Daphnia pulex: one gene and its partners. The protein of the gene in region 4 binds, or shares a complex with, the protein of the main gene of each other region. Links are inferred from orthologs where the notes say so. Each region holds a gene or a part of one and is shown on either strand. Other genes may lie near its edges.

The links. The genes of interacting proteins can lie anywhere in the genome.
Region 1: mediator of RNA polymerase II transcription subunit 8-like (region 4) and mediator of RNA polymerase II transcription subunit 24-like share a complex: the UniProt entries of both Drosophila melanogaster proteins name them as parts of the mediator complex. The link is inferred for Daphnia pulex from reciprocal best matches to the Drosophila melanogaster genes MED8 and MED24.
Region 2: mediator of RNA polymerase II transcription subunit 8-like (region 4) and mediator of RNA polymerase II transcription subunit 7-like share a complex: the UniProt entries of both Drosophila melanogaster proteins name them as parts of the mediator complex. The link is inferred for Daphnia pulex from reciprocal best matches to the Drosophila melanogaster genes MED8 and MED7.
Region 3: mediator of RNA polymerase II transcription subunit 8-like (region 4) and mediator of RNA polymerase II transcription subunit 31-A-like share a complex: the UniProt entries of both Drosophila melanogaster proteins name them as parts of the mediator complex. The link is inferred for Daphnia pulex from reciprocal best matches to the Drosophila melanogaster genes MED8 and MED31.

What each region holds. Positions count from the first base shown.
Region 1 is NC_060019.1:9,365,754-9,371,213, reverse strand, and holds the start of mediator of RNA polymerase II transcription subunit 24-like, read left to right. Parts: upstream 1-1,739; 5' UTR 1,740-1,931; coding exon 1,932-2,027; intron 2,028-2,100; coding exon 2,101-2,226; intron 2,227-2,310; coding exon 2,311-2,412; intron 2,413-2,470; coding exon 2,471-2,832; intron 2,833-2,888; coding exon 2,889-3,217; intron 3,218-3,275; coding exon 3,276-3,604; intron 3,605-3,661; coding exon 3,662-3,898; intron 3,899-3,966; coding exon 3,967-4,133; intron 4,134-4,190; coding exon 4,191-4,368; intron 4,369-4,437; coding exon 4,438-4,535; intron 4,536-4,602; coding exon 4,603-4,819; intron 4,820-4,901; coding exon 4,902-5,050; intron 5,051-5,110; coding exon 5,111-5,352; intron 5,353-5,438; coding exon 5,439-5,460. UniProt on the Drosophila melanogaster protein: Component of the Mediator complex, a coactivator involved in the regulated transcription of nearly all RNA polymerase II-dependent genes.
Region 2 is NC_060019.1:10,647,187-10,651,317, reverse strand, and holds mediator of RNA polymerase II transcription subunit 7-like, read right to left. Parts: upstream 2,341-4,131; 5' UTR 2,205-2,340; coding exon 2,019-2,204; intron 1,962-2,018; coding exon 1,491-1,961; 3' UTR 1,422-1,490; downstream 1-1,421. Other genes in the region: tyrosine-protein kinase Btk29A-like, read left to right, coding at 2,705-2,866, 2,956-3,223, 3,337-3,690. UniProt on the Drosophila melanogaster protein: Component of the Mediator complex, a coactivator involved in the regulated transcription of nearly all RNA polymerase II-dependent genes.
Region 3 is NC_060024.1:13,244,314-13,248,105, reverse strand, and holds mediator of RNA polymerase II transcription subunit 31-A-like, read left to right. Parts: upstream 1-1,546; 5' UTR 1,547-1,687; coding exon 1,688-1,700; intron 1,701-1,778; coding exon 1,779-1,859; intron 1,860-1,916; coding exon 1,917-2,013; intron 2,014-2,072; coding exon 2,073-2,283; 3' UTR 2,284-2,371; downstream 2,372-3,792. Other genes in the region: 2-oxo-4-hydroxy-4-carboxy-5-ureidoimidazoline decarboxylase-like, read right to left, coding at 2,516-2,711, 2,784-2,937, 3,017-3,203. UniProt on the Drosophila melanogaster protein: Component of the Mediator complex, a coactivator involved in the regulated transcription of nearly all RNA polymerase II-dependent genes.
Region 4 is NC_060023.1:11,386,509-11,390,682, forward strand, and holds mediator of RNA polymerase II transcription subunit 8-like, read left to right. Parts: upstream 1-1,798; 5' UTR 1,799-1,936; coding exon 1,937-1,960; intron 1,961-2,026; coding exon 2,027-2,167; intron 2,168-2,226; coding exon 2,227-2,323; intron 2,324-2,388; coding exon 2,389-2,516; intron 2,517-2,576; coding exon 2,577-2,799; intron 2,800-2,867; coding exon 2,868-2,968; 3' UTR 2,969-3,006; downstream 3,007-4,174. Other genes in the region: protein CutA homolog, read right to left, coding at 47-233, 291-372; probable 28S ribosomal protein S25, mitochondrial, read right to left, coding at 1,066-1,234, 1,299-1,386, 1,441-1,684; early endosome antigen 1-like, read right to left, coding at 3,139-3,372, 3,441-3,616, 3,684-3,867, 3,936-4,121. UniProt on the Drosophila melanogaster protein: Component of the Mediator complex, a coactivator involved in the regulated transcription of nearly all RNA polymerase II-dependent genes.

The sequences.
Region 1 (5,460 bases), on a different chromosome or scaffold from region 4:
TCCAGCGTAGTATCTGCATGCGCATTTGATTTGTTTACTTTCCTTGAATTATAAGGTCTGTCACGTCTCAAAAGTCTTGACAAGATTATGAAGAATCAAGTAGCTAAGCTAGGTAACTTAACTTTTAAAAACACGCACGTAAACTACAAGTGCTCTACACAGAAATGAGATTGGTTTTAACTGTTTCGGTGTGTCAAATCGCCTACACAACGAATCATCTGCTTCAAAGCGGTTCCATGTTAACAAGTCGCAATTACTGACCTCTCTTCAGTCCCTCTCAACTCCTGTCAACAAGACTCTTTCAAGCGTTAAAAAAATAAAAAAAAATAAACCTTTCAAGTTTTAGCACGCGCTAAGTTCTTCATCGGCTCTCCAACTTTCTCTGCGTGTATGCAAAACAAAAAATATTTCACTTTTCAGAACGCTGCAACATTTCCCGAATTCATAATCAAACTAAAACACAAAAAATAGTACCGTAATAATGACGCACAATTCAAAATAAAAGTGTCGATTGATTCATGTCATTTTCCAACGCAGTTGAGCACGACATCTCACGCCATTTTTTTTTTTTTTGTTAATTATAGTCCACGAGAACCAGCCTACCTTAAATAGTAACTCAACACCAACCAGGATGTTCTTGAGAAGAAGAATCGTATTGCTGACACTGGCCCTTATTTTAGCTATTGTTATCATCACCGTGACCATTGTCGGGCTTCTCATCTCATCATATAATGACCGGTACATGCACAGTATAAATATCCAACAAGAGGAGAAATCGGAGATTGTTCTACTTTCTCAATTTCTTCAGTCTTTACATTCTTATTTATTTTTAAATAAAATTTAAAAAATCTATTTTTGCAGTCAACAGGCAGAAGCGGAAGCTAGAAAAGACCATGGTACTCACATGGAGATAGAAAAATATGAGGATATGGAAAAGAAAATGAGTTCTATCGCTTCTGATTTACCCGAGAGTGATGATACGGAAATCGATGAACGTGACTTTTTACCAGTACCACCAGGTGTAGTCGTAATATTTTGATCATCGCATACACGGACGGTCATGGCTGAAATTATTTTGATTAAACATGAATAGCTACAACAAATACGGACAGCAGCGGCAGCGGATTTGAGCCTTCAAGTACGGAAAAGACTTCGTTGAACGTGAATTCTGTTCCTCTAACAGACGAATATGAATCATCTCAAGAAGTTGGAAGTGGAGATTCGTTAGATCATCATCAAGCCGGTAGTGGAGATAATTCCGAAGATCGACACTTTGGCATGGGAAGTGGGGATTTTTCTGGAGACCGACGAGACGTCGGCAACGGGTTTGATCAACCCGTTTAATTCGTCACAACTAACAAGCAATCTCATTCCGACCTTCCTCTTGCAACTATATAGTACTTTATATAATAAATACAATTTATCCCTGTCACTGCAAATTCTATTGGTAAATTTCTTGTGCACATGTTATGAAAGCTATCCGTAAATACATACAAAATTCGTGTACCATTTAACCGCGACCAAATTCTTTCTGTTACGTAAACCGATGTTAAAACTAAAAGTTTTAACATAGATTTATTTTGTTTTATACTAAAATTGTCAAATTGATTTGGTTCTGAAAACACCGAACACGGATTGGCCTTCAAGTGGGGGATCGTTTGTTAAGCACGTAAAACACTAATTGGTCGATTCGTTGCTGCTGGTAGTTTGAATTCCACGCGAAAATGTCAAAATGATTTGTAGTTCCACTTTTCACCGCTGGGGTGTTTATGGTATACCGTGTCGTCTGCTTTGAACGCTCCTCTACAAACCACAAACTCAAAAATTTCACCTCACCTTCAGAATTTAACGAATAATTGTGGCGTACTTCAACATATGTTTGTTAAATTGTGTTTTAGGTTATTAAGCTTGAAATTTCTATAATCGAGAGGATGACTGAAAGTGTAGAGCAAAAGCTCAAGCACTTGATGAGGAAGGCTTGGAGGGAACGTTGGACAGATCTCATGTGGGGGATATATGTCAAAGAGGTACTTTAACTGTAATTTCGTAACAAAAAAAAATATCTTTACCAGTTTTAAATTAAACTTTCTTTACATAAAGGTAATACCAGCAGGATCAACTGGAGATACATATAATCTAGCAGAAAGCATTTTACAGCAGGCTTTGATCGGACCATCTCCAAATTCAAAGTTGTTGTCATATCTACAGCATTCATTACATGTTCAAGTAAAACCACAACTTTAATTCAATTACTAAACACATTTTGTTTTGCTTGTTAATATTTAATTGCATACCATTTGTGTGTTTTAGATTGTTTCCTACAGTGCTGTTTTCGAAAATATCTGCCTTCAAGGTAGTATCCAGAAAACCAGATGCCTTTTGGAGTTACTACTTTTGGTGGAGCAATCAATAGTAACTTTTCCCATTCAGTCTTAAATTGAGATATGGTTTTAACAATATTATTTATTAGAAACATATTTCATGTACTGGATCTGGCGATGGGCCTGCTGCTTTAGCTGCTTCTCTATTGTCTTTGGAAACTTGGCTTTGGAGTCTTACGTCTGATGGACTAAAAAAACTATTTGATAATAATAGTGCAACCAATGACTATTCAGTCATTTGCCATTATACTACAGGATTACTGGGGACTTTGTATGAAGAGAACTATTTAATATCTCTTCTATACATTGCACGTTGCTGCACTAATGATCAGTTTTCAGCAACTCATCTTACATCGCTTGTAAACCAAACTGAGTCCAACCTGAAAAATTTAACTACTAATGGGAATCCGTCATCAGAAAAACTTGTGGAATCTGTCGAAAAAGTCATGAGGTACTTCATTTGATGTTCTTCGTCAATGAGTGGTCATTAAAACAAATTCTCCACAGGCAATGCCGATCATTTGAAAATGATCTATTCAAAGAAAATGGTCCCGAAAAGCCCTTTTACGAGAACTCATTGTGCACAGACGTACATACATTAATATCTTGGGAGGCGTTGCTTCGCCCCACGTCAGATGGCCTTGAGTTGACTCGACAGTTGGAAGTTCTACAGAAACTAAGAGGCTATTCACCCACCCAGCTCTATTGCGAAATCCTCAGAGCGTGTTGCCTAGGACTAGCCGAAACTGCTGATTCTCCTGGAGAGCTACGTTGGGCTGTATTCACTTTCCTCAAGGCACCGTCATTACTACTCCGACTTCATCGATCAATTTTTGGTACGATTAGCAATATTTTAAAATTTCAAACTGTTCTATTAAATTCTCGTTTATCCAGGATTGGATCCAAATTCGCCTATTGGAGAACCAAGTCCGGAAGTCGCGGGTGCGTTTGAGCGCCTTCTTTGCTATCCTGGACTTTTAGAAACAACCGATGCCAAATGCCATTGCAATGTCGTCGAAGGTTTATTAAATGAAGTGAAAATACGGACATCTCTTTTATCTGAATGGCATGTTACAAGCATCCTCAGCAAAAGAGAAAGTCTATCCCGCGGAGGTCTGAAGTTAGAGACCACTAACACACAAATAGCTACTTTGGTTCTTCGTGCTGAGCCAACGGTGGCCAGTATTCTGAAAACGTTGGATACTGATTACGCTAAAAATCAGGTAATCAAGGAAAATGTAGAGAATTACGTAGAGCAAGTAATAACATCTTCATTTTAGGACACGCTGTTGAAAGTTTTATCTCATTTGCTTTCGGGGCAAAGCTTCGAACTCATACTGAACGCTGCAACTGGGACTGGTAAACTCCGAGCTTTTGCCACAAAACTCGTGCGATTTAACGAAGCGAATCGCCAACCTGCTGGTTCCGATCCAAGTAAAACTGCAAATGCAAGGGCTCTACTCTTTGACATCTCATTTCTAATGCTCTGCCGTATTACGCAAATGTACGGCATTGAGGTAATGAAAATCATCTAATAATTCACACCTGAATGCCTTCTGATGTTACTTGTTCTAATGATCGATAGGTGATACTGAGTGGTGAACTAGGAGGGGAGACTTTCTTTGAGCAGTGGGCTTCAGAATGGCTGAAACCTAATCAGGCGCCTGATTTGTCATTAAGTCGCTGCGATCCCATGTTGACTGATCAGTTATTGAAAGCCTTGACATCTGGAGAGAGTGACCTTAGATCAGGGTAAAATAATCTCGCCATTTTTTTCTTGAAAAATAATAAGCCCATTTCTATTCATAGGAGCGTTCGATGGCACGAAGCTTGTTTCCACGTCCCTGCTGTAATACGGGAAATTTTGGGGGCTTACGAATCACAATTAGTTTCTGATGAAGAAGTTGAAAGGATTCTCGATACTTTACGGACTCAAATGTGCTGTCTGTCTGTTTGTGCTGCCGCTTGGCTTCGATTTTACATCCAAGTAAGAAAAGATCCAATTAAAAAAAAATCAAAAAGATTCGAATTAAAATACGGTGGACATCTCCTTTAGGTACAACCAGCAAATCTGAAAAGTAAGCCCACGAGCATGCTCGATCATTTGATGACTTCCCTGAATCTTGATGACTCTAAAGAGCATTATAGGGAAAGGTAAATTACGATAATGCCCTAACAAATGATTTTTCGCGTTCACTATAAAATTCTTTTTTCCATTAAGGTCAGTATTGATGCTGCAAATCATTCGGCGTCTGGCACAAGACGACAATCCCCTACAAAGCGTCTCAGAGAATCAAGATCAAAGTTTGGATCATCAGTTAACCAAATTATGGAATAAGATTTTAAATCATGGTTGGTCAGACCATAGCACAACAGTGGGTATTGATCAACTATTCAAAATTGGTGGAGCAACATGGTTGGTCACTTCTTTGGTCAAGGTACTTAATCAAAGAACTTTATCCTAGACAAGCCTAGCAGGTATGGGTATGCGATTGAATGTCCTTTCTTTGTGTCTCGCAGGCAGTTATTAAAGAGCAATCTTCTGACAAAAGACAACGGTGCGTCGAAGGAGCGCTGTCAGTTGCACATTTAGATTTAGAAAGCTGTGCCATTTCTTTAGCAACCAGAGTACTCCCATTCCTACTAACTCACTCCTCAATGCTGGCCAGGTAAAAGGGTTTGGCCTCAGCGTAATGCCAATCCCAGTTAACATTCCTTTTTTATTTCAGTGACGAAGAAACCGGTGGACCAGGCGGCAAAGCGTTAGCCCAGTTGACTGTCCTGCTGTTTACCGCTGCGTTGAATAACCAGTTAGCCCCAGAATCCGACTCATCCAGCCCTTCCAAAAAGTTGGGTTCAAAACGTTCAATCGATTGGGATATGAATACGCCGGGTTTTCGATATCCTCCTTTGAAAAAGATGGCTCTTCATGAGGAGGAATTTGACTTTATGTTTGTAGCTCCTAACAGCGGTAAGTTGTTGATTTGTTTTGTTGTTTTTTTTTGTTTGTTTTTTTAAGATTATTTGAAACCCTGACATATTGATATTTGTTTTCAGCCCATGAAAATAATCCACTCTC
Region 2 (4,131 bases), on a different chromosome or scaffold from region 4:
ACTCTAGAAACCATTCTCCTCTTGTAAAAACGTTGATACTCTTCAGGCAGCATGGACAGGTGTTTCAGAGCAGATTCAACCATCTCCAACGCCTGCAGTTTGAAAGTTGAGATAGAAAAATAACCGAGGCCCTGAAGCTTTGACAGTGCCTTACTTTTGAGGCCGGTAGCGGATCTTTGTTGCCGTAAGGGTCTTTTTTATCGTACACCTCTGGACTCAAGTTTCGCCAGAAAACGTTGACTGCTACGGAGAACTCGAGTGATGTCATATTATGAAACCACAGAGCCGGGATGAAAAGAACGTCTCCGGGCTCCATGATACATTCGTGAGATGTTACTTTGGCGAACTCCGGAAAGTGTTCCAGATCAGGAAAATCAATGTCGATAACCCGAGATTTGTCGCCTTCCAAATAGAGATACGGAAGGTCTTCTGGCGAATAGAGAACGGCTCGTTTTTTGCCAGTGACTTGGACAAGAAGATTGTCCATCACATCGTAATGTGTCCACAACTGAACTCCTTCAGAAGCCACCCTGAGGACACTTGAAAAAATAGTGCTTGGTTCCAAAAACTTGGGAACTTGAAAATCTTGGCAAAGTTCAGGATAATGAGAATCAAGATTGGCAACCTCTCTTCCCCTTGAATCAGTTCCAAGTGCCCTTAAATAGTAAACTTCACTGTTTGTTAGAAAAAAGTTTTCGTGCTCATTTTCAGAAGACCTTTTGATTACTTGATCAAACGGCAGTGTTTTATAATGAAAGTTTTTGGTTAGGAAATTCATTTGCCCTGTTTCAGATACATGAATCTTCACTGGCTTATTCCCAACATTTTGCGAAAGATATTCAGCTGTCCACTTTCCTAGACAACTTCCAATGTCTAATCCTCTGAGTATGACAGGACTTCGTTTGGGATGGATCTCATCAAAAAATTGTTCCATTAGGATATTGTTATAGACGGGAACTGGGCTGACTTTTCTTTCAGTCATTTTAAAATTTACTCTACTAACGAAAGATGATCACGTGTAAAAACTTGCTTTGGCTATAACAATTGAATGTTACCTGCAAGGCGAAATGATAAAACTAATAACTATCGATAGACCGGTTCAATATACAGTTAAATTAACAGCAATGCACTTACCAAAAGCAGAGAATTAACTTCAACGGTATTGTTGTTTCGAATCAACTTTCAAGAGGAAAAATTTGAAGGAAAAATATGTTACAGCGACTGCAGACGGACTAAAACGAATAAACAACGTTGCAATTTGATCTAGATGTTTAATTTAGGTGGATCATCAACATTTATCAACTAAAATACAAATAGAAAAATCTATTGCAATAATTATTTTAAAATAAAAATTCTTAAAAAAAAATAAATCACCGAGATTATGTTTGTCCCAAAACGATTAAAAATAAAACAGCAGACTATTTTACATCAGAAAGGCGAGTAGATCGAATGTATTTTCCACTTTGAATAAACATAAAATAACACAGAATTCACAAAGAATCAATCATTTGACACAGAACACGATCCTCCTCAGTACACCCATTCCCAGAAGTTTGGTTGCTTGCATTGCCTTCTGAAGGTTGAACCCGTTCAACATCTATAAGGAGCTTGATGTTGCCTTCAGTTGGTTCAGGAATTGTGTTGACAGCCTGCTGAACCAATTCCCAAGCTTTGTCAAAATGTCTTCTGAAACGCTCTGCAATTTCCAATCTTTGTCGTTTTTGTTGTTCTAGCATAACTCTAAGAGTTTCCCTTGCTTGATGAGGCCGAAATTCATTGACCAGATGATGCATGTGAATGAAAAGCAAAGTGAGGTCATCAATTTTTGTGGCTCTTGCTTCAGACTCTGGATTTCGTATGCAGATATCAACCAAGTCAAGGAAACTAGCAGTGATGGAGTGATTGAGCTTTTTCAGTTCTCTTCTGTGGTCATAGTTATTAGGGTACAGACGTCGTATATTCTGGAATAGTAAAACGAGTATTAAAGAAAGCTTTGATTAAGAAAAAACTTCTATCACCTGGCTTTCAAGAGGTCGGATCACAGCATCATCAGTATTATATGGATTACCAAACATGGAATAATTGTCTGTGATCGGAGGAGGTGGTCTCGGTGTTCTTCCTCTTTTAGCGTTTTCTTCATTAAAAAGACTGACATATTGCATCGGTGGCAAAGGTAATGAACTAACTTGAGCCGTTTCTGACATTTTTACTTTCCCACTGGAATGAAGCAATATAGTAATGTAAACAATATAGTTTGTTTTCAAGAATGAAGAATGTGACGTTTTCTAGTTCGTTTGCTTGGGGATTTCAGCAGACTATTTTTTGATCAATGTTCTCCTTTTTGTGGCTGTCCCGACACGCCATTCTTGAATGGAAACAAATTTGATTTAGAATGTTGTAAAAGAATTCAATTTTACATTAAATTGTCATTAAATCAATTAATCGTTGTTTATTTTTTTATTTTAAATGTATATTTCCTCGATTTTATCGCTAATTTTCGGAGGAAATTAAATCCGATAATAGTTGTCGGCAACTGCCGCTAGATCTGTCCGAGTTGCCAGTATTTAGAGAGGTTTGGAGAGCTTTTTCTTCGTCCTGCTTTCATTCTCTTCGTACCAGGGTCCAGGGAGAAAGACAATGAACGAAGTTATAACAGCTTTATCAAGTGGGGACTACTTTTTTGATTAGTGATCGTTTTGTAAGTATGTTTAAAAGCTCTGCCAAACCTCTTGCAGGTGAGGTAAAAAAGCAAGGCAATTTAGTGAAACGATCACAGAACAAGAAGAGGTTTAGTTTGATCAACTACAAGAGTCGATGGTTCGTCCTTACCACAAAGTTCCTCGCCTACTACGAGGGCGAATGCGAGGTAAGGTTTAGTTCTACTAAACACGCATGGACTGTGTTCGTGAATCCCTTCATCACTAATTCATCACAACCATCAATTCCAAACAACAGAATCGCAAAGGAAAAGAAAAGGGACGTGTCGACCTCCAAACAGTGAAAGTTGTGGAAGCTGTTGATCCAGCACCTGACACACCTGCCATCGGTCCATTGGCAAACCTTACAGGTTCCATTCCGAGTGATTTGAAGGGATCTCCTGCTTTTCAGATAGTGTACAATCCTTATGAGTGTAATGAAGGTTGTAGTGCAACAGACTTGACTCTTTGCATTTTCACTCCCACTCAGCAAGAAAGAGATATCTGGCTTTGGAATATCCGAGTTGGTGAGAACATTCTCTTTTGACGTCTCAAGTAGTTATGTGTGACAAATAGCAGTATTTATCTCACATGTTCATTTTATCTCATCTAATAATTTATTTTATTTTTCTCCTGATAGTGGTCAAAGACAGTGCTCCTCTTGTGAATGTGTATCACCCTGCCCTGTGGGGGAATAGAAGTTATCTTTGCTGTGGATCAACCCAAAGGTCCACGTCTAAGGCAATAAACGGTTGCCGTTCTGTAACTTGGGCTCCCAATACACTTCAACACATGGGCATCAATTTCAGTAACATCATCCACCATCCGTCTCCCTCACCAAGTCCTGTCGCTAAACCTGCGAATGGGGCTGAAGTCGAGGCGGCCATGGTCAAACCAACGGCGATTAAACCCACGACGGAAATTCATCCGGCAATCGTCGGGGATGTTGTTCCTGCATCCCCTTCCACTTCTCACAACGCCGTTGTTGCGTTAGGTACTATACCCGCTTATGTATCCTACTAAGTGCTAACTAATGATTTACACCCGTTCGTTGCCTGCAATACTTCTAGGAAACAGTAGTTGTACGACTTCTAAGTACATGAACAACAGTTAATGTTGAGTTATTTCGCATCAAATCCTTAGTCAAGGACTTTGGGAGGGAGGGGGATTTAAGCCAATAGAAGCACATTCTAAGAAACTGCGTCGTTGGAATAGATTCAATTTGTTTTCCTTGTAAAAAAAACTAAATGGATAAAGTTATTACATCCACTTCACTTGCGAAGCTAAATTATCGGATAGCTGAAAAGATCAACTAATTATTAGAAAACTAGAGAAGTGAGTGTTGCGTGTGGCGCTGCAGTGGTTTAGAGAAAGAAAACTTGTGTGAGATTGGTACTGGCAATATTCATGAAAATTTTCTCTATTGAAAAATGTT
Region 3 (3,792 bases), on a different chromosome or scaffold from region 4:
ACGCGTCGACAAGTTGTTTGACGTTAATATTTTGCGTTAATAAGATTTCGCGTCGCCCTTTTGTTTTGTTTATTACATTGTTTAATTTTTTGTTTCCCCCCCCCCTCTCTGCGTCGACTGCTATATACTCGGCGACGTGACGCAAATGGAATCGGGGGCTTGCTGTAATTGCCTTCAACGGCAGGTTAACATCACAACAGTTGCCGAAAGTATAGAGACGAGGCGGAGTCAGTTTTTGGGCATTGTCCGTCGCACGTGCCACCGCCCACCGGTTCGTCTACCTAGTGGCAAAAGCGTTATTAATATGGCGGGGAAATGTAATGAGAATCTTTTCCACGAAAATTTGAAACTCCTCAGGTAAAAAAAAAAAAGGCTGATATGGGTCAGGCAATAAGCGGCAGGTGATTGATAAAAGCCCACACTGCCTCAGCAACAGCTGGATCATTTTTGTCATGTCACGCCACCTGTTGCTACCTACGCTCTACTGAATTCTGTGCTATCAATGATGGAATATTACTCCATCATTTATCCCGGACCGACGGCAGAAATCCGCGTTGAATCTATTTGTTACTCCAATCACGTCACTTTGCTGATTGAACTTATAATCATAGAAGAGTGGAATTTCAAGCACGATTATTAGATAATACCAGGGAATTAAGATTGATACGTTCATCCTCTTGATTGTCGCATGGTCTACCGGAAAACTCGGGGCCGTAGGTGAGAACCAACCATTATACATCCGCCGAGTGCGCAGGAGGATGGCTACGTAGTATAGACCTACCACATGTACAATACGTGAATATGCACTCAGACATGATACACCGCCCTCACGGCCGCGTGCATTATCCGGATGTCACGTATACACGGAGTAGATATGACACTTTAAGATGATATTTCTGACCTATACATGGTAGAATGCTATCGCCCCCGCACCGGATATCCGATCAAAAGTGGCGAAAATAAGAACAAAAGTCAAAGAAAAATTTCAACAGATTTCGTTTGGGTTGAATATTTTTGATTAGCCTACTTTCAAATATTTCCGTTCTGGAAAAGGACGATAAAATAGTAACGGAGGCGTAGAATGTCGCATATGTGAAACAACTGGAAATCACACGGTAATATATTCCATCTTTTTATTTTTCCGTTCGCCTTTCCTGCTGAATTCATAATTTTTCTGATTTGACTTTTTTATTTTGGTATTTTTGTTTTTCAACTCCATATTCCATCTAAATTCTTCTATTGATCTTACCTCCTACAGGAAAATAAAATAACTCACGGTGCAAACTGAAGTTAGTATAGTCTAGCCGTCTAGCCTATCAGCTGCGGCTTCATGGTTTATTAGGGTCCTACGGCGCAGCGCAACCGCAAAATGTTATCCAAATTCGGAAATCAAACTGTGTGATAAGGCCACCACACACATTAATAAATTGTGGGCATGAAATTTGAAATCGTTTTAATTTTTTTTTTATTTTGTAAAAATTTTTTTAAGTTAATTCAATTTTTAATATTTTCTCGATTTCTTTCTAGATGGCATCAATTGATCAAGCAGACGACAAATTGCAAAAGTTGACGCTTTCCAATTTCCATTTCAAGTTGTTGTCTGACGTTTCCATTCTGTCCGGTTGCCTCGTTTCTAGATTTCCAAAACTGTTGAAGCAAACTACGTTATTTCGTTGTTTGCTTCGCAATGAGCACCAGAGGTAAATATATCGTGAAGTGTAGTCGTTTTCAATACAGATTCTCATTGCTATGTTATTATTCCTTTTTCCGATGGGTAGAAACTGATGAACAACAAAGGATTCGATTTCAGGTGGAACTAGAATTTGTGCAATGTTTCGCAAATCCAAATTATCTGCACTGTAAGTATTTGGTCTATTTTTAAAATCAACACTTTCATTATGCCTTGTTTACACTAGTCCTTGCTCAACGTGGCTATTTTAAGGATCCGGCGTTTGTCAACTACATCAAGTATTTACAGTATTGGAAGGAGCCTGCTTATGCAAAATATTTGAAGTACACCAATTCACTTGCAATTTACCCTAACTAGAAATTACAATTTCATTATTTTCCAGGTACCCAATGTGTTTGCATTTCCTAGACTTGCTTCAATATGAGCATTTCAGAAAGGAGGTTGTGAATGGCCAGTGTGCTCGCTTCATTGATGATCAACAAATCCTTCACTGGCAACATTACACTAGAAAGAGGGTTCGTCTTCTTCAAAGTCAAGCTGAGAAGCACATGATGACTGTTCAGAATGAGCCAACACCCCAGAAAAGTGTTTGATTCATGATAATTATTGTTTAAGGAACTTTTTAAACTTCTCTTATATTGGGCAAGTATATGCAAGACAATATAGACAAATTTTTGTAAATTGCTGTATTTTGTGTTGAGTTTTTGCAAACTACCAGACAAAATGTTAACAACACATATGTTTTGGAAGACTTGTTTTGAGTGAGAATGTTTAGAATGGAATAGCTGCTGTTGACCTCAACTGATGGGAGCGAGTGGAAAATCTCTACATATTACGAGATTTGTCATCAGTTACTATACTCAACAACCTCAAAAGGCAGATTTTCTTCACTTCTTCAATCCCAATGTTTAGTTCTTCAGCAGCTGAGTGTTCCAATCTCTCAACTATTCCTTTCAAGATTGCTTCCTTCTTGTTCTGCCTGGCACAGATAACAAAAGGAAATCCAAACTTTTCTCTGTATCTATTAAAATAATAGCCCAAAAGACACAGCTCATTAGTTACTATATAGTTATAGAACAGTAATTTGTCATACTTGATGTTGGTCTCTCCTAGCAGTTGTTTTTCACCAGGTGTCATTGTGTCTAAACCAGCAGCTTTCTGTTCAGCAGTACTCTCCTGTGTTAGGCTGCCAAGTTCAGCTAGCCTGCCAGCCAAATCAGGGTGAAGTCTTAGCACCCCCTCTTTACCTATCAAATGAGAAAACAAATGTTCAATTGATTGGCTATAAATAAGCATTCAAGCAGCCTGTAACTAAATAGTTCTAACCTGTGTCCGGAAGGAGGTCCAAAAACGAGCAAATTTCTTGGTGGAGATGATGAACGTCACGAAATGGGCGATTACGCCAAATTGCCGCCGCGCAAATTGAACAATGTTCAACTACATTACCGAATCGACTGATGAAATCTTCATAATTCAATTCGTTTACCAGCGAAATGTTCAGCATATCAGCCATTCTTGACGTGTGTAGACCGAGCAAGTGGCGCTTGACGACGATCTAAACAGAATGCAGCCGTAGTAAAGATAGTCAAGGTCGTCTATAATCAAAATAAAAGTAGACGAATAAAAATTCGAAACGTGTTTGTTTTTAAGTTTGATACATTTGTTATTGCAGCACTAAATAATGACGTGGATTATTCTCAATCCTGATCCTGCAGTTTGTTTTTGAGTTAACTCGATCGATTATCTGGGAAGATAATGAAAAATAAAAATATAATATTCCACCACTATCACGTAGCTAAATATCGAGTTTTAACCTTCATATATTCTCGCCATATTTATGTACACACACTTAAGGGATCTCGTTTCCACGGTCAAAACAACGTCATCTAAATGGCATTGAAATTGTTTGTGTGCATAAGTTGTTTTGATTTTTTCGGCATCAAAACAGAATACTGAATTGCGTGATAATAACAAGTTAACAAACTCAAAGGAAATTGAATTTTTAAAGATTTCACATAGAATAGCCACTTTTATGTCTGCTTGTCGAGGTGCACGTGATCAACTGACATTGCCTGAGGGTCATACTACTGTCAAACACGAAG
Region 4 (4,174 bases):
TCTGATTGTTTAAACCTGAGCAGCCTTAGATGAAACAATAATTTACCTTGATGATTTGTGTCGATGAAACAGACATTTTTGAACTTCTCCTATTTTTTTCATTGAAATTGCTTCATCTGCAGCTAATGGCAAAAAGATTTCCTGTTGTCTCTCAGCATCAGGCAAGTATCCTGTAATGTACACTAAATCCAACTCATCACACTGATGTATCTTCACATCTTCGTTCCCCCTAACTAAAACAGTTTATGAGAAAAGAAAATTCAACAACAGAATATTAACAAACATTATACCGAATTTAAGATCTTTATAAAGTTGTAACACCAAAGCTTTTTGTTTTGGTGTTCGAAATGTCATATTTTCTATTAAGTCCATTTTGTCAAATTCGGAATCAACAACAACTAGCTATTCGAGGGGCTAATTCATTTTTCACTTTTCAGACGACCGCGAGAAGCCGAGAATTGACAGAAGCAGACATCACACGATCGAGAAACAAAGGAGGAACGATTCTCGCAACAACAAAAAAAATTATTCAACAATATTGATATCATATTATTTTTAACATTATGGATACAATTTAATTTAACACTTGCAAAATGATTAAATTTTCTGGTTCTAGTTCCAAGTAGTTTTTATCAATTATTTGCGTAATGCATACTTCGCAATGTCGATAATCAGAAAAACCGTCTGCTTCAACTCTCAAGCTTATCACAACCAAAGTAAATCTTAAAAGCTGCTATGGAAAGATCAAACAAAAAAGCTGGTAAAATGCAGTTCATTAAAAGTTTTTACAACGACCCTTTCAGATGGTAAGTTTTATATAATCCCATTAACTTATGAAACACTCACTAAGAGAATCTTTTTTTATCTTAGGTCGTTGGTGAAGAGCGTGGCTTTGTTCGCCTTGGGAGTAAAGATTGCACGCGAGTGTGTCGACATGGACTTAATGGCTCCTCAAATGCAATAACTACGTTAATTGTCAAACAGTTTAATAATAAAAGCAGAATTGCATAATATTCTCAAAAATTTTTTTTTATTTGACTACATTGTGGGGCAATTGTAATTCATTTATAATTCATCTGGCTTTTGAAACTTGTACTTTCCTCTCCAACTATTTGGCAAAGGAATAAGAGCTGGGCAAGGTAACTGACCAGGTACCTCACAGATGCAATGTCTGCTGCATTTAGCTCCAAAATTAGCTGGGTTTTCTATTTTATCCTCAGCTTTCAGTGTTTCTCTAGATATCAATCAATTAATAATTATTTGGCATTTAATCTTACATAATTGTTTCAACAACTTACTCTGATTTGCAAATAATCCTGCGTACTCTTTCATAGATCTCATCTTTTGACTTGAAATCAACATCCATTAGAACCTCTTCCCCGTTTTCTGAACATGAAATTTGTTACTTATTTGAAAAAAATGTAATATTTTTTTAGTTACCTAAATAACACCGTATAAATGGACTAGGAGTCAAGTTCTTGAAGGTAGCTATCTGAATATTGGGGTTTTTGTACTGTAACTGAGGCAAGTGCCAAAACACGAATTGTCGGGCACCTTCGTGATTTTCACCTTTTGTGTTGTAGTTGATCGAAAATATCTTGACTCTATCCTTTAACACCAACTTATTTCGGTCTAAATACTCCAAAGTTCTTCGGATCGGAGCAGGACCTTTCATAAACGGCATTTTATTATGGGAAAAACTATTTTACTCGACCTAAATGATAATGAGAACTTGAACAAATAATTTCTCAAGCAGACGAACCAACGGAATGGCTAAGTCTTGATAATTTGACACTAGAGGGCTTATGCAACAAACGCAGACGACATTTTTGTGATTGACATTTGGTTGAAGCTAGCAAGCAGCAAGCTACAAAAGCATCACATCAGTTTATGTGAATTAAAACTTAAAAGAGCTTTCTCATAATTTATAACCAAGATGCAGCGTGAAGAGAAACAGCTGGTAATTATATAATTTAAGAATTGAGGTAAATTTTCATCCCAAACTTACAAAAAACGTTCAAATCAGGAAGCCGCTTTGGAAGCTTTGCTTCAGCGAATTAATGACCTAAAGACTTCTATCCGAACTCTGTTATTTCGTTTGGAAAATGAATATGGATCCCTCAGTTGGCCTTCTGTTTTGGATAGCTACGCCGTTATATCTGGCCAGGTAAATTATGCTTAAGACATTAGCAAGTAATTCAGACTAATTTTAAATCGTCAAACCAGATGAATACATTGCTGAAAGTTATGAAGAATGATAAAACTCCACTTTTGAGAAACCTCATAGTTTTACCTCTAGTTTTGAGCCCTGATCCAGATGAGGGTAAAGTTGCACTTACTATGCATACTTGCTGGTATGAGTGATTATCATCAAACATTTATTTGTAGAGCTCAAACAAGCAACAGAAGGGCGTGTTGTGGCCTTTTCACATGACATAACACCTGATATGCTGAGAACAAAACCTGATCCAGATGTGGAACAACGTCAAAATCAATTTGAACAACGTGCTCTACAGGTAAGAATACTTTTAACAGAAATAATAACATAAAATCTTACAACTTCTTTATTGTTAAAGGTTCCACCAGAGACAGCACAAAAGCAAATCAATGCAATGAATAAAGTGGTCAATCATGTTTTGGAGCAAATAACACATTCAAGAGAAGATTGGGAAAATGAAGCTACTGTCCGAGCAAATGCAGCCCACACTTGTATTATAGCCGATACGCACGCTCTGATTGCTGCTGTGGGATTGGGCAAGAACCTTAAAACCCTTCCTACAGCTGCTCCAACTCAACCTGGTGAGTTAATTATGCTTGCTTTGCTTCTAAAATTGCAAAAATTCCAACACATCGTCTTCAATATAAAGGTCCAGGACGCGCACAGCCTGGTCCGGCTCCAGGGAAAACAACAAGTACTATCAAGACAACCATCAAAGCGGCCAGCCAAGCGCACCCATACAACAGATAATAGGACTAGACCAAATACACATTTATTTCATATTGAAATCAGAATACCAAACACGCCTCCCTTATAATATCTCAAATGGAGCACTTCAATCATCGTAAACTGAACATAAACACTCATAATTAACGTCATTAAAAAAGGGGGGGAGGGCGACACGGAATATAATAAGTATTTTAGCGCGGAGAGTTTATAGTCAACTCCTTAAAGCATGAATCGCAAACCCTGACGGGTTTCCGGCTATTACCAACGGCAGTCGATTTACTAGAACACTCGTTGCAAAAGATTTGGCCGCAGTTGCGGCAGTGATGTTTCCTAACCGTTAGATTAAAACCTTTTTGGCAGCTCAGACAATCATTCACTTCGGAATCATCCGCCCACTTTCGGCCCTGCAATTTGGCGTTTTCCATCTGATGTAACGAAGAAAACCATTTTGTCAATTTATAAATGAAAATGTTTGTCGATTTTTTATTTATACCTGAAGACTCTGATTTTCTCGGCCGAGTTCGTGTAAAGCAGCTTGCGAATCTTCTAGGCGACGACGTAGTTCAGCAGCGTTGAACTTAAGTCTGTCCACTTCATTCTCCCATTGATTGCAATTGTTTTGCAGTTCTGTTTTTCCCTCCTCCAGCAACGCTACCCGAGTTTCAAGCTCTGCATTGGAAATTGATTTAAGCACCATTAAAAACAAAACCCAAATTAAAAAAAAAAAAAATCATACCAATCTTAAGTGTGTGATATTTCTCTGCCGATGCCTGTAACTCTTCACAGCGCTGATAGCGGGTTGCCGATAGGTCTTCAGCTTCACTTAAATTACCCTTCAGCGCCTTAATTTCTTCTTCTAGCTTCGTCTGTTTTTCTAACCACGCACTATTTTCCTTTGCTCGTCCTTCCTTGGCTGCATTCTGTTGAATCAACAAAGCCATATGCAACAATCGTTTCATGAGATAGTTTAAAACTTTTGATCTCATACCAATTGTTCGATAAGCTGATTTTTGTCTTTTAGCAAACCTTCCGATTCATTTTTGATCCGCTGCAAATGGATGCGATGCTCAGTCGTTTGCTCGTCTAGTTGTTGCTGAAGGTGCGTACTAAGAGTTGCGAGTGAATCTTTCTCACCTCTCAACAACTGCTCGTGCTCACCCCACTCGGCCTTTTCCTACAAAAAATTAACGATCATTGTAAATGCGTAAGAAAACAAAACAATTATTT